Diceros bicornis minor: one gene and its partner. The protein of the gene in region 1 interacts with the protein of each later gene in a biochemical or structural test. Links are inferred from orthologs where the notes say so. Each region holds a gene or a part of one and is shown on either strand. Other genes may lie near its edges.

Evidence for each region.
Region 2: the proteins of SUMO2 (region 1) and MDC1 form a complex in vitro, tested with the Homo sapiens proteins (2 studies listed by BioGRID). The link is inferred for Diceros bicornis minor from reciprocal best matches to the Homo sapiens genes SUMO2 and MDC1.

Annotation. Positions count from the first base shown.
Region 1 is NC_080757.1:55,707,935-55,715,834, forward strand, and holds the start of SUMO2 (small ubiquitin-related modifier 2), read right to left. Parts: upstream 3,106-7,900; 5' UTR 2,992-3,105; coding exon 2,971-2,991; intron 1,379-2,970; coding exon 1,247-1,378; intron 1-1,246. UniProt on the Homo sapiens protein: Ubiquitin-like protein that can be covalently attached to proteins as a monomer or as a lysine-linked polymer.
Region 2 is NC_080753.1:34,401,638-34,408,571, reverse strand, and holds the start of MDC1 (mediator of DNA damage checkpoint protein 1), read right to left. Parts: upstream 3,059-6,934; 5' UTR 2,643-3,058; coding exon 2,640-2,642; intron 908-2,639; coding exon 769-907; intron 1-768. Other genes in the region: TUBB (tubulin beta chain), read left to right, coding at 5,769-5,825. UniProt on the Homo sapiens protein: Histone reader protein required for checkpoint-mediated cell cycle arrest in response to DNA damage within both the S phase and G2/M phases of the cell cycle.

The DNA of each region.
Region 1 (7,900 bases):
TACAAAATGATTACCTTTTAAAATTCTCCTGTAACCTGAAGGAGAACTAGTGTTCAAATAGGGAAGATTCTAGTGCAAAAATTCTTTAGCACAATTAATAAGTACAAATTTACTGTTAGGAGGATTTCACGAAAATTCTTCAAATAAGAGTATACTGAAAATCTTATCTTTGTAAGGAAGTATAAGAAAGTTTACGAACGAGGACAAAGAATTATAAGCACAGTATTCTCTTATTACATTATAAATAAATTAGGCATAAAATAAAGCTTCAAACTCAAAAAGAAGTTTATATCTTCAGTTTCTTTCAAATGCCCTTAGGTCTCATGGAGGAAGCCCAAGCATCAACTCAACTCAATTTCCCAACTTCTACAGGTTTAAGCTTTATTCTATTTTAAGCCTATTTTTAGGACAATTTCCAACGTAGAGGTGTTTTGGTCTAAAAGAATGATTTTCCCAACTTTTATATATTATACATTCAGAATTGAACAAGAAAAATATTTCTGCAAGGTACTGGATTAACTGATCTAGGAACCAGTGTTTTTGTTATACTTGCAAAAGTCATCTTTAAAGTTGCCTTTGTATTGTTACAGACTCAACATCACAAAAAGAAGTTTCTTTGTCTTGAAGCTTGCATTTACCTCCCAGCATCTGTTCATTTCTACTTCCTCTTCTTGATGTCTATTTACTATTTTCTGAGTAAAATGCAAATGTCCCTATAATATAGGAATGTTTATGCTTGGCCAGGAGGTTAAATTTCTTGACCTCTACTAATAGTGTAAAAAGAAACACTACAATTTTACACACTTCAGGAAAATTGCAATGTCCTTAAACTCACATTTACTTTTATTTCCAAATCGTTTAAAATACTCTAAATTGTTTTGACACAAGACAAACTTTAAATGGATAAAAAAAGAGCCTGACGAAATTTTACCAAGTTCATTCTTATTTTCTTATAAAATTATATCCCCTTGGGAACAAATCACATGCTCTGAATATAATTTGATGCATTTCTGGCATAGGACTAGAATCATAGGTAATATTAATCAAACCATCCTAAGGGTTTTCACGAAGAATCAACATACCAACTGTATGATGAAACTAATATGTCAGGTATATAAATGCATATTCATTCTACCAAAGATAGTCTATTATAATATTACGCTAGTCTAGTTTCTGTTCTCAAGAAAATAAAGTTTGCTTTTTTAAAATAATTTCTATTCAGTGGAAGTGCACGTCAGTTCCTCACCTGTCGTTCACAATAGGCTTTCATTAGTTTACTAAGTGGTGTATGCCTCTTAATCTTAAACTGCACCACAGAACCATCCTGCCCCGCCACCTTCAAATTAATATGATCGTTGTTCTCAGTCTTGACTCCTTCCTGTTGAAAGAAAAATAAAAGTATAATTTGGAAAATGTGAAAAACAAACTCCTTTTAAAGCAGCAGCAGCAGCCCAAGTTGCTTCAGAAATCAACAGGTTTCTCACTCTGTATGATAAATGAGCATACAGCTGTTTTCACTGGCTGAAATCAATCTGAAAGATGAGAAATCCTGGAGCAACAATATTAAACAGCTGTCACAGAAACAGAAAGCAGCCCACATGCAATACTATCGGGGACAACAATCGATTTTTAAAGAGTCCCACTTAATTTACTGCAATGCTTTCTTGCATCTGAATTTCCTAAAATGGCATACTTTATATCACTCTCAAAATATACCTTTCCCCTAAAAAGATTAAAAATAAGTGTCTTTTCTCTTTCAAAGTGCTTCAAGTACAGAATGCAAGGGAAAAAAACCTAGAGCTTGCTATTCAACACTCATTACAAACCTCTTCTTAAAAAGTTACCAAACTCAGTTTAATAAGTTAAATCTCCAACAACATTAAAAAAAATCTAATTGAGGAATATCCTTTCATTGTCTCCGAAGCAGCGGCAATAACTCAGAACCACTATTAATGGTCGCCTCTACTATGAGCAGCTTCGTATTTATTTTTCGTTAAGAGCTCTTCTTCTCCCCTCCCCTTTGTTGTCACGGGTCAAATGCACAGTTTTATTCCAAGTCTTCCTTGTAGATTTAGACCCAATCTGAAGTTTGCCAAAATCAAGTGTAGAAGGAATCCTGTAGCCCCTAAATCACTTCAGAAAGAAGGGAGGGGGTGTCACAAACCAAGCCAAAAGAAAGTCTCGTGTGCCAGGAAGAAGTGTGTGCTCTCGTCCTCCCGGGAGAAGCCTCCCGGTGCCTCAAAACTCAAAAAGTTAAGCCCCACAAAGTCTCTCTGCTTGTACATCTGTCTCCAACTTCTCGAAACCACATGTTCTTCGGAGGTTGGAGGTTACTTGGCACCCAGGGAAAAGCCCCTGCCCAGCCCCCTCGGGGATCCTAAGGCCATCAAGGTGGGAGATACTCCCTGGGAACCCCCCCACCCCCCGGCCCCTCACGCATCCGGCTTCCAACCCATCGGCAGCCCATTGATTCGCCGGAGCCCTCACCGGCCAATGCGGCCAGGGCAGGGGTCCCCAGATGCCCGCGGCCCCCACCCCCGAGGGAGGAAGCCCCAGGCGGAGGGAACTCCCCGCCACCGCGGAGGCGGCAACACCCGCCCCGGGGTCCGCGGAGGGTGGGGACACCGCGCGCCCTAACGCCCCTCCTCACGCGCGCCCGGCCGGCCGGGCCCGAGGAGCCCCGCTCGCGGCCGGTGGGCCCGCGGGCGTCCGCGATCCGCCCGCCCAACTCGCGCTCGGCGCGCACTCTGAGGCTGCCGGGGGCGGGGGAGGGCGGCGGGGCCTCCTCCGGCGCGGGAGGGAGGAAGAGGGGAGGGAGGAAAATGGCGCGGAGCGCCGGGCCTGAGCCGCGGCCGGCCCCATGGGGGGCCCGGGAAGGCGCGGGGAGCCCGCGGCGGGCTCGGGCCGGACCCCAGCCCCCGCCATGACTCCGGCCGCGCGGCGAGGCGAGGAGGCCGGCGCCGAGCTCACCTTGGGCTTTTCGTCGGCCATAGCGAACGCCGGAGTCTCCTCAGCTGCCGCTTCACAAAAGAGGTACCAGGTCCGCACCGAACGAGCACACAAGCAGCACCAGGAGCGGCAGAAGGAGGCGGCAGCGGTGGAGGAGGGAGAGGGCGCGCGCACGTCGTGCGCTCCCTCCCCCCACCCTGCGTGCGCGAGCACGAGCCGCCGGGGCTTTCCATTGGCTGTCGCCTCGCGGGAGCGCGCAACGCTTACATAACCACCCCCGCCCCACCCCCGCCCCGCGCCGCCTGGGTCTGGGCTCGGCGCCCGCCAGGCCGGCGGGAAGAGGCGCGGACACGCGCACCCGGCCCGCGCGGGGGCGCGCGTGGCTCTGGGCGGGGCTGTATTGTCCTCCTTCTGTGGTGGAGCTTAATCAAAATGGCTTCCAGCTGGTTTTCGGTGGGGACGAGAAGGCTTGAGGCCTAGATGTGAGAGACAGGGCAGGGAAGGCAGACTGACTAGACGAGGAAGGGGGAGCCTAAATCAAAGCCCCAGCATAAGGTTCTGGAAAAACCCTCTTGTTCGGTGGCACAAATGCAGTTTTCCCTACGATTAGAGGAACATCACACTTTCTCTCAGTCAGCTTCTCATCCTTTGGATTTTAAAGCTTCAACGTCAACCTGCTTCCCACCAGGCTCTTGCCTCAGTGCAGTGACTACCTCAGTCCTGCTGGTAACCCTCTACTTTGACTAGTTGAGGAAAAATGTTCATCCAACGGACTCCTTACTCATGGCCTGGATCCCAACCTCTGAGAGGAAACAGAATCCATCAGAGAGAACTACCCAATATCAGGCTTCCAAACCAATCAATCATTTCCTCTTTCCTTCTGGTTAAAAAAAAGTAGGTCTCTCCTGTCTTCAGAACAATCCTGACGTCTGTACAGGGGATTCCAACCGCTCCTCTCAGGAGGTTTTATTGATTATTTCCTTTGTCCCTGTATTTTCTTCCACTCTTCTGTTGCACAGAAATAGTCTCTCTCTCAAGATTCTCTCTCAATTCTATTTCCTTCTTAAGTTACCACCATATCTTTCTCCATTCTTGGCCAAACATCTTGAAAAAATGTCCATGCCAGCTGTCTCCACTCCCTCACCTCCCACTCACTCCATAATCTTCTGCAATCTGGTGCTGTCCTGGTAGCTCCACTAAAACTGCTCTCTACAAGGTCACCACAGACTTATTTGCTGAATCCAGTATGCTTCCCAGTTCATCACTCCTCTTGAACTCCCTCCCTGTGACTTCGGGTTGTGACTCTGGCCTGTCCTTGATCCCTTTGCAATTTTTTTCTTCCTCAGCCCTTCCCTTAAATGTTCCTTGGGTTTTGTTCTATATCCTTTTCTCTTATCATTCTATTCCCTCTCCTGGGATGATTTCACCCACTTCCATTACTATCTATTTGCTAATGATTCTCAAATCTATATTTCTAGTCCAGATCTTTCTCTGAGCTTCCAATCTATAAATCCAACTGACTTCTGAACATCTCCACTTGGATGTCTCAGAGGCACTGCAAACTACAAATCTCAACTAAAATGTCTCAGTTTACCTTCCTCAATCTGCCCCTCTCTATCAAGGTGCCGGTTCACTGAATGCCACACCATTACAACATTGCTCCAAGCCAGAAAGCCAGGGGGCATCCTAGACTCCTTCCTCTCCTTCACACCCTCCCCATACAATCAATCTTCAAGTCTTGTCTATTCCACCTTCTAAATACCTACCAAATCTGTTTACTTCTCTTCAGCCTCTGTCTAGTCGCTGGGCTAGGCTGCATTTGCTGGGCTTCCAGCTGGTCCTCCATGGGGAAGAGGAGGCTTAAGGCCTTAGATGTAAGACAGGCCAAGGAAGGCAGATTGAGGCAGGGAGGTAGAGGAATCCTAGGTTCAAGTCAGCTCTCCCTAGGGCTACTACAGTAGCATCCTAAGTGATCTTTATGTTTTAAGGGATGTCCCACTTGTGCCAGAATATTTAAGTGAATCAGTATCATCTAGGGTGCTGGTTTAAGTGCGTATTCTTGGGCAGTGTGGCTCTGGGATCACACTTTATTAACAAACTTCCCTGGTGATTCTTAAACACACTAAAGTCTGAGAACCGCAAACCATTCTAAAATAAAAACAAAATAAGTTTCCACCACTCTTTGGTTAAGTGGCAATCTTGTACCCTATAGGATGAAGTCCACAATTCTTATAAGACCTACAAAGCCCTTTGAGAACTAATCCAAGCTAACCATTCTAGCTCTTTCTCATCATTTCTCCTGGAAGCCTCTGCTTCAGTCATATTTAATTACTCAGGGTTCCCGAATGTGCCTGCTCTCTCAACTCTAAGCTTCTGTCCATTGTAGGTGCTCAAAGATTCACTGAATGAATGAATAACTGAAACTATCATTATGTGTAAAGTCCTGTGCTAGGCCTTGGGCAGACAAAGAAATGTAGACAAAGTTGCTGACTCAAATAACTTATAATTTGGTGGCGGGGGGCGGGGGGGGGGTTAAGTAGGAAATACACAAGAAGTGAAAGGGAAAGAGAACCAACTGCCATGTGTCAGGCACCGCGTGGGGCTTTATTAATATTAGCTCATTTTTTCCTTACACCAACCCTTCCAAGTGAGTGTAGTATTTATTTACAACTGAGGCTCAGAGGAGTTAAGTAACTTGCCAATATCACACAGCTGGGAAGTAGTGTTGATTGAGCTTCTACTGCATGTTGGGTGCTGTCCAGGTACTGTAGAAAAAGGAAAAGAGATGCTATCCTTACTCTCCTGAACCCAGGTCTTCTGTTGCCATCATATACCTTCCAGCCTTGTAGGACTGCAGAACCATCAAAGAGGAATACAGCATGTTAAACTTACCCTCATTGATATGTGGGGGTCTCCAATAATAAAATGGTTGTTTAGGCATTAGCTTCAGGGTGACAGGTGTGTCCTACAGTATCCCCCCTCCAAAATTATGCTAAATTATAAAATCACCTTCAGGCAAAGGAGGAGTTCGTATAAGAAGTAGTTAAGCACGTTCAAATGTGTGAGCAATATATATTCCAATGACAGAGTGGAATTTTGTGAGCTGAGCCCATTGTATACTGAGAGTCTCTTTCCAATTTCCAGGAAACAAATTGTGAACAGATAGAAATTTTTCAACATTAAGTTTCTCCCTCCATCATTTTTAAAGGGGTGGGAAAGGGAGTGGATGTGCACTGGAAAAGAGTGCTTTGGGAAAAAAAGTACAAAGAGTAGTGTATATAGAAAAGAAGAACAGTGGCAGACATTAATTGAGTGCTTATTATTTGGGGATTCTGTGCTAAGCCCTTAATCCTCACAAAGACTCTATTATTATTATCCTCATTTTACAGATGAAGAAAGTGAAACATAGAGAGATTGGGCAACTTTGTCACCCAGCTTGAAGTGGCAGAGCCAGTATCATATTGAACTCAGGCTTTCCGACTCAGATCCCAGTGCTTAATTACTGTAGGACTGCACACAGGATCCTATGGAAGGCTGCAGAGAGAAAATACATGGAAAAAAAAATCCTAGGGGCCGGCCCCCTGGCTTAGCGGTTAAGTGTACGCGCTTCGCCACTGGCGGCCTGGGTTCGGATCCCGGGCACGCACCCATGCACCGCTTGTCCGGCCATGCTGAGGTGCTGTCCCATACAGCAACTAAGAAGGATGTGCAACTATAACATACAATTATCTACTGGGGCTTTGGGGAGAAAAAGGGAAAGAAAAAGGAGGAGGATTGGCAATAGATGTTAGCTCAGGACCAGTCTTCCTCAGCAAAAAGAGGAGGATTGGGGTGGATGTTAGCTCAAGGCTGATTTTTTTTTTTTCTTTTTTGTGAGGAGGACCAGCCCTGAGCTAACATCCAATGCCAATCCTCCTCTTTTTTGCTGAGGAAGACTGGCCCTGGGCTAACATCTGTGCGCATCTTCTTCTACTTTATATGGGACGCCGCCACAGCATGGTTTAACAAGCGGTGTGTCGGTGCGCGCCCGGGATCCAAACCGGCGAACCCCGGGCCGCCACAGCTGAGCGCGCGCACTTAACTACTTGCACCACCGGGCTGGCCCCTCAAGGCTGATCTTCTTAAAAAAAAAAAAAAAAAATCCTAGAATAGTGCCGGGAGCATCAGTCAGGTTGTTTTGACCTAAATTTTTGTTTGGTTGTCTCTCTCAGCAGAATGGAAGTTCCATGAAAGCAGAGACCTGTCGGTCTTGTTTACAGTTTTATTCCCAGCACCTAGCTCAGTTCCTGGATCCTAATAGGCAAGTGAAGGAATGAATGAGGGAGTTGTGCAGTGAGCAGTTTTCACCATTAGGAGTGGACTAGGAACTTGGTAAGAAAGGCCTAATTCCTCTAGAAATCTAATTAAATATCAATAATTGGTGTTAGAATTAGAAATAGAGCATAAGAATAGGGTGAACCAGCCAAGATGTACTCATCAGGGTCAAGTGCCAAAGGAAAAACACCATTCCAAAAAGGGGCAAGAAAAAAAGAATCAAAGAAAGTCTGTTTAGGGGCCGGCCCATAGCGTAGCGGTTAAGTGCGCATGCTCCGCTGCTGGTGGCCCAGGTTCGGATCCTGGGCATGCACCGACGCACTGCTTGTCAGGCCATGCTGTGGTGGGGTCCCATATAAAGCGGAGGAAGATGGGCACAGATGTTAGCCCAGGGCCAGTCTTCCTCAGCAAAAAAAAGAGGAGGATTGGGATGGATGTTAGCTCAGGGCTGATCTTCCTCACACACACACACAAAAAGTCTGTTTAGAGCTTTATTTTTTTTAATAATAATTTTATTTATTTATTTTTTCCCCCAAAGCCCCAGTAGATAGTTGTATGTCATAGCTGCACATCCTTCTAGTTGCTATATGTGGGACTTGGCCTCAGCATGGCCGGAGAAGTGGTGCGTCGGTGCGCG
Region 2 (6,934 bases), on another chromosome or scaffold:
ATCTTGGCCTACTATTAGGAAAATGTTCCTGTTAAGTACCCCACTACTCACACAAGGTCCCCACATGCATTAGACAAATAAAAGGCCCCAGGACATCTAGATATTGAAGAATATATGTAACATATTATTCATAGTCAATACCTCATCCTCCACACGGGATTTTTTTCTATTGTGATAAAATATACATAAGGTTTACCATTTTAACCATTTCTTTTTTTTTTTTTTTTTTGTGAGGAAGATCAGCCCTGAGCTAACATCCATGCCAATCCTCCTGTTTTTGCTGAGGAAGACTGGCCCTGGGCTAACATCTGTGCCTATCTTCCTCCACTTTACATGGGACGCCGCCACAGCATGGCCTGACAAGCGGTGCAATGGTGCGCGCCCGGGATCCAAACCCGGGCAGCCAGCAGCTGAGCCTGCGCACTTAACCGCTACGCCACGGGGCTGGCCCTAACCATTTCTAAGTGTACAGTTCAGTGGCATTAAGTATATTCACATTGTTGTGCAACCATCACTACCATCCATTTCCAGACCACACTGGATTTTTATTTGAATCTCTTAATTTTCTAGCAAAGTAAAATCACCTCCGGTGAGTCCAGGGCACTTGCCTGGAGCAATTAACTCAATCAGCCCCCTGTTCTCCATTGCCAGTAAAAGAATTTTTTCACATCTCCTTGAAACATATATAAGCCTCCTGCAAACCTCCTACTACTTCCTTACAAAAATAAGAGGCCTATACCAGTACTTCAGCATCCAATACCCTCTGACCTTTTTCTGGTCCATAGGCACTACTGAAGATATGCAGTCGCCCTACGGGCGCCAAGTTACACCCCAAGGATTCACTGGGTCTCTCTGTCTCCTCCTCTTCTTCAGCCTCCCAGTCAATAGCCTGAGTGTCCTCCATAATCTGGGAAGGAAACACATCATCATCTCTATTATTGGTTCACACACACAGCCTCAGAGAGAAGACTGATAACCGGGGTAAACCTGGATAGTTATGGAGGTTCATGCTTCTCTTTCCGCCGATCATTCCGTGGTTATCTTTCTGAAGCATTTAAAAAATATTTTTGACCACGATACAGAATAAGAAATAAATATCATAAGGTCCCAAATATATACAAACACACGTGCTTATTTATACAGACAAATGTTTTGAGAAAAACTGCCTAGCCTTACTATATACAACACACTGATAGCTTCATTCTATTTTTTTCTGTTCTCTATTTTTAATTTTTTTAATTTTTTGTTTTTTGTGTGTGAGGAAGATCAGCCCTGAGCTAACATCCATGCCAATCCTCCTGTTTTTGCTGAGGAAGACTGGCCCTGGGCTAACATCTGTGCCTATCTTCCTCCACTTTATATGGGACGCCGCCACAGCATGGCCTGACAAGCGGTGCGTTGGTGTGTGCCTGAGATCCGAACCTGGGCCGCCAGAAGCAGAGCCAGCACACTTACCTGCTACGCCACGGGGCCAGCCCTATTCTCTATTTTTCAAATGCTGATTTGCAACCCACTAAATTGATTTCACTATCCACTATTGGGTTGCAACCCATAGTTTGAAATACACCATTTTAAAGGGAGCTAACTTTTGCCAAGCATCAACTATCTGTCAGGCATGGTGTTACGTGTCAGGCATGGTAATGATATGAGGCAGGCATTTAGGAATCTAAGGCTAAAATATTAAGTAATTTGCTGCAGATAACAGCAGGTAAGTGGAAAGGACAGGAATAAAGGTGCTTCTGGCTGCAAAGCCCATGCTTTTTACCCTTTACCAGACCATCTCAGTGTGATCAGACTAACTGCAAAGAATCATAATAGCTGACATATATAGATGCTTGCTACGTGTCAAGCACTGTTCTAGTTACTTTGCATGGACTGACTCATTTAATCATCACAAGAACCCTACAAAGTGTTATTATTAACTTCTATTTCTCAGATAAAGAAACTGCAACATAGATGGGTTAAGGAAAATGCCCAAGATCACCCACATGTCCCTCCCCTGTTTAATACATACACATATTTTTTTGGTGAGGAAGATTGGCCCTGAGCTAACATCTGTTGCCAATCTTTCTCTTCATGCTTGAGGAAGATGGTCCCTGAGCTAACATCTGTGCCAATCTTCCTCTATTTTATTTGTGGGACGCCTGCCACAGCATGGCTTGATGAGCAGTGCGTATGTCCGCACCCGGGATCCGAACCCACAAACCCAGGGCCACCGAAGTAGAGCACCTTAACCACTATGCTACCGGGCCAGCCCCTGTTTAATATTCTTTGATGGCTTTCCATGCCCACAGGATAACATAAAATCTAAACTCCTTAGCAAGACCCTCTATGATCTGAACTTCATGTCCTGCAATGTATGCCTCCCCTCAAGCCTATGGTTCAACCACATGAATCTTCTCCCTACTCTCTGAACACACTGTTCCTGTTGTCCCCCACATCTGCATGCCTTATCCAGCTCCTTGGCCCTTTGCTCCTAGTTTTCTGGTCTAACTCCTACCCATCTTTTACAATTCAGTTCAAATGTCACTTCCTTAGCAAAGCCCTTCCTGGAGTCTTGCCTGCTTTCTGGTGTTCCTGGTGTATCGTACGTGTTCCACAATGGTGAAAGGACTTGAAACTATCCTAACACTTCTCACCATATTGTAACCGTTACTTTCCCTTTCTGCCTTCACACATCCCTTCGAGAACTGGACCAGCAGAAGTGTCTTTTCCCCTGGGGTCCATCATATTCCTTCAAGAGTAGTCATTGTGCACCTGGTACCGTTCGAAGTATTCAGGATATATTCATGAACGAAACATAAAATTCACCCTGCCCTCCTGATGAAAGAACAAATGAAAGATGAAAACTCAAAATAGCAGGGACGGAACTCACTTAGCAAGATGCCACCCTAGAGGGAAACTGTTGACAGGAAGGGAAAGTGGGACGCCTCCTTGGAGATAGTACCAACTCCGTCATTAAGACTGGCGAACTCAGCGGGTGCCCATGACCCTTGGCTCCAATCCAATGGGCCACCATCTTTGATCCCCATCCCAGTGGGTTCCCTCCTGGCCTAACGTCTCCCTGTGTCTTCATACCTAAACTCGGGGAGGGGCGTCAAGTAAAGATGAATATTATAATCCGAGAAGCAAACTTCCAAATCTCCTCCGCCCAGTCGCACCCAAGGCACGCCCCTCCCGCCCTCCAGGAGAACCAAGATGGCACCCGGGGAGCTGTGGGCAAGGCCCCCCAGAACTCACCTACTTTGAGTCCCCGCGCGCGCCACCAGTAACGGCCGCGGGCCGGTGGCGCGACTGCTCGCGCCCGGAGGGAGCCGATTCTCTGATTGGCTCCCGCCGCTGTCTTTCACAGTCCTGCGGCAGGCCGATTGATCAAATATCCAACGCGGACGCACATCCATAGCCCCGCCCCCATCCCCGCCCAGCCCCCTCACCGCTCAAAGGGGCGGCTTCTCTCAGGGGCTTGAGATCCGTTGTGCGAGGCGGTAAGCAGAGGCCGCCCTCCGCGCTCAGAATCGCGCACTCCGATTGGGCAGTTGCGAGGGACAACCCACTACCGCCTCACCACCCACCGCCCACTTCCCGCGCAGATTTCCAAACCGCGACCACAGAGTCTGGTTGCCGGCGCGGATAGAGGGACTTACCATAGTCGTCGCCCGATGCGTCTAGTGCGGCCAGAGCGCCCTTCCTCAGTCCTCCCAGACATGGTGTCCGCTGACTCATGAGAAGTGAAAACGGGTTGCGGGTTGCAGTCGTGGCCGGAGGCTGCAGTTTGGAGAACTGCCCGTAGGCGTGGCGCTTGAGGACTCCTCATTGCAATGGAAGTTCATTTCTTTTTGATTTGGCTTGTTTAGTAGAAGTCATGTCATTTCCTCCTTGAGAATACATCCCTGATAGACATTTTGAGGTCATTTTCCTAAAGCAAAGATCCCTAGGCGAACAGAAAGAACTATTTTGCTAACCATCTTAAAGGCTGACCGAGGTCTTTCAAGGGGTTAAAGAAGAATGATAAAACCATTTATTTCATCATCTCATACTAAGACAGAAGAGGATAGTAACAATTTGACATGTGTATGATTTAGGAAGTCCTTTTGCATTTTATCTCACTTCAGCCTGACCACAGCAATCAAATAGGCAGAAGTAGATTTTACAGAGGGAATTGAAGCTCTGCGAAGGTGAATGACTTGCTTAGGTTCCTACAGCTAATGTAAGGTAGAGAAATTGAAACGTCCGCTCATTCTAAATTCTGAACTCTCTCCACTGCCACAAAATAACTACTTTCATTGTGACCATGCCCTAAAACATAAAACATTTTATTTTGAGTGGGTAGAGGGGTCTTACACAACTTGATATTCTTTTATTTAGGTGACTGAGAAATGTGTGTTGAATCCAATGTGAATTATCAGTGATGACCTTGATATCACATGTCCTGTATTATGGTATTACCACACTCCATTGTTTATACACTTCTCACGAAACTGCAAGATCCTGGTAGGCCAGGGAGAGAATTTTTAATCGTTTTTGTATCCCTAGCTCCTGGTTTGGTGGACACTTAGTATCTATCAAATGAATTAATGCCTGAGAAGAAACATGCGGCTCTGACTTGAGCCCGTCCAATTTTCTCCCATCCATCTCCCTCCCTATCCCCCTTTTGTTCAATCCTGGGGTTCTTGAAAGGTTGCAGTGGCCAGCCAGCTGGTCAGTGAAATCAGCGAACTGAAAAAGGCTGGAAAGACACTGAAATTCTATCAGGCATCCCACCCCATAGTTCTGTTTGACAAGACCACAGTGTCTTCAACGCTGCTCTAAGGCCCAGATCCCCTACACGGAAGGAAACTTCTGGCTTCACAGATCCCAGATATCAGCTTCTCTAAACTATTCAACTTATTCTCTGAACGTAACCTCCGGACAATTACATCTCTATCCTGAAAAGCCCCTGTTGCAATTTTGTTTCTCTTTCAAAATATTATCATTAGAAAACTCCCAAAGAAATAGGAGGGCAATCCCCTCCTTCTTCCTGAGTATCTGGGGGAGCGGCGGCTTACTGGAGTTCATGCCTTGGGTCACCAAAGGACCAGCTGTTAGATAGCAGAGCAGGGTGCCGCATTTCTCCCCAGTTTTCGCTGAGCTAAGCAGTCCTGTCTTCCCAAGAGCTACCGCCGCGGGGAGCTTTCAGGGCGTGCCCACTCCTTCCAACGCCTGGCACTCCAGGGGTCCCAAATCCTGTATCCCCGAAAACGACGCTCTTTTTGTACAAAAAACTCAGGCATAGAGGAAAGAAATCGTACGCAAGGTCATTTTTTCATAAAATACAAAAAAAGTCCAAAACCAAAAACCCGGTACCCACCCATTCGTCCCTTCATTTTGCAGCGTGGACAACAATAGAGGACTACAACTCCCAGAGCTGACTGCGTTCGTCCACTCGCGCAGAGACCAATGGACGTCTGATACATGACCAGCATCGACTAATCAGGGCCAGCCTCGATGAAGCTTTGTCTCCCCACCGCGGCGCGGAGCGCGTTCTCCCGCCTTCCCACCCCGGCGCAAGCGCGCCCCGCCCTGCCAGCCTTCCCTCCTGCGCCCTCCCCTCTCCTTTCTCCCTCTCAGAACCTTCCTGCCGCCGCGTTCGGACCTCGCTGCTCCAGCCTCCGGGGCACGTCCCATCCTTCCAGCCTGCGGCCAGCAGCAGAGAAAAAAAACCCCACATATCGTTTTCTTGCCCCGTACACACCTTGAGGCGAGGAAAAGAATTAAAATAAATTTTAAACATGAGGGAAATCGTGCACATCCAGGCCGGTCAATGTGGCAACCAGATCGGTGCCAAGGTAAGGATTTTAAACCTCTTTTAACTATATTTCTTTTTCCGAAGGAAAAAACCCGGACAAATGATAAAGAGTGGTTGTAGGACATTTGCACTCTTCATCTTTAGCCAAGCTTTGCCAAAAAAAGTTTTATATATATAATACCCATTTGTTGCTAGAATTTGCTCTTAAGAAAATGGGGAATGATTTTTTTTTGGCAGGCTCATTTTGGGGAAGCCATTAAAAGCACCCTTCAGATTTAGGGGGCGGGAAGACCGAGGTTCTGCAAGCTTTTACTTAAAGAGGATCTCCTAACGGTCTGAAGACTGGGGAGGGAGGGACATGCGGAAACAGTCCGAGACAAAGCGAGGCGAGGTTTTCCCCGGGTGCATCTCCCTTGGCGGGGCTTTATGTGGCTAAGCCGGAGGAGGAAGGGACGAGGCTGGGCGGGCAGCTGCAGAGAGCTGGGATCCCAAGGTGGGGGACGCGGTGGGCCACTGGGTTGCACTACGCGTTACCATTCACAAAAGATCGGGGCTCTCCGCGCGCCCGCGATCCCCGAGGGGCGGTCCGGTAGTTTTTCGTGGATGGAAGGCTAACATGTGCTTGATTAATTTTACTTTCTTTGATTTCCCCTTAAAAGAGACCCTTTTAGGGAGTGAACAGATGAGAAAGAGGGCGGGAGAAAAGGAGGGGGTCGTTTTCTTTAAAGGGTCCCTTACGACTAAAGGATGGGAGAAAGGAAGGTGATCCTCATTTAAAGCAAGGGGGGAAAAGCGAAGGAATAAAATTCGAGGCCAAGGGGGGATTTTTTTTTTCTTTTGCGCGCGGTTACAGTGTAGCGGGGGAGGGGCGGGAGGAAGTGCGGCTGCTACGTTGTAGCAGAAGGGCGGGGCCCGGGCGCCCCTTGGCGCGCCGGGACAATGCGGCCCTGAGGGCCGGCCGGGGGCGCGCGAGCCCGAGCCGAGCCCCGCCCCTGGCGCGCGGAATTCGCGCCTCGGCCCCGCCCACGCTCGGCGCCTCTTTGTTGGCTGCTCGGCGTGCGCGTGCGCCGCAGTCACGTGGCGGGGGGCGGGAGGTGGTCGACTGCTGCAGCGGCTCCTTTCTGCGTCTCCCTGGCTCTTTGTGCGCTG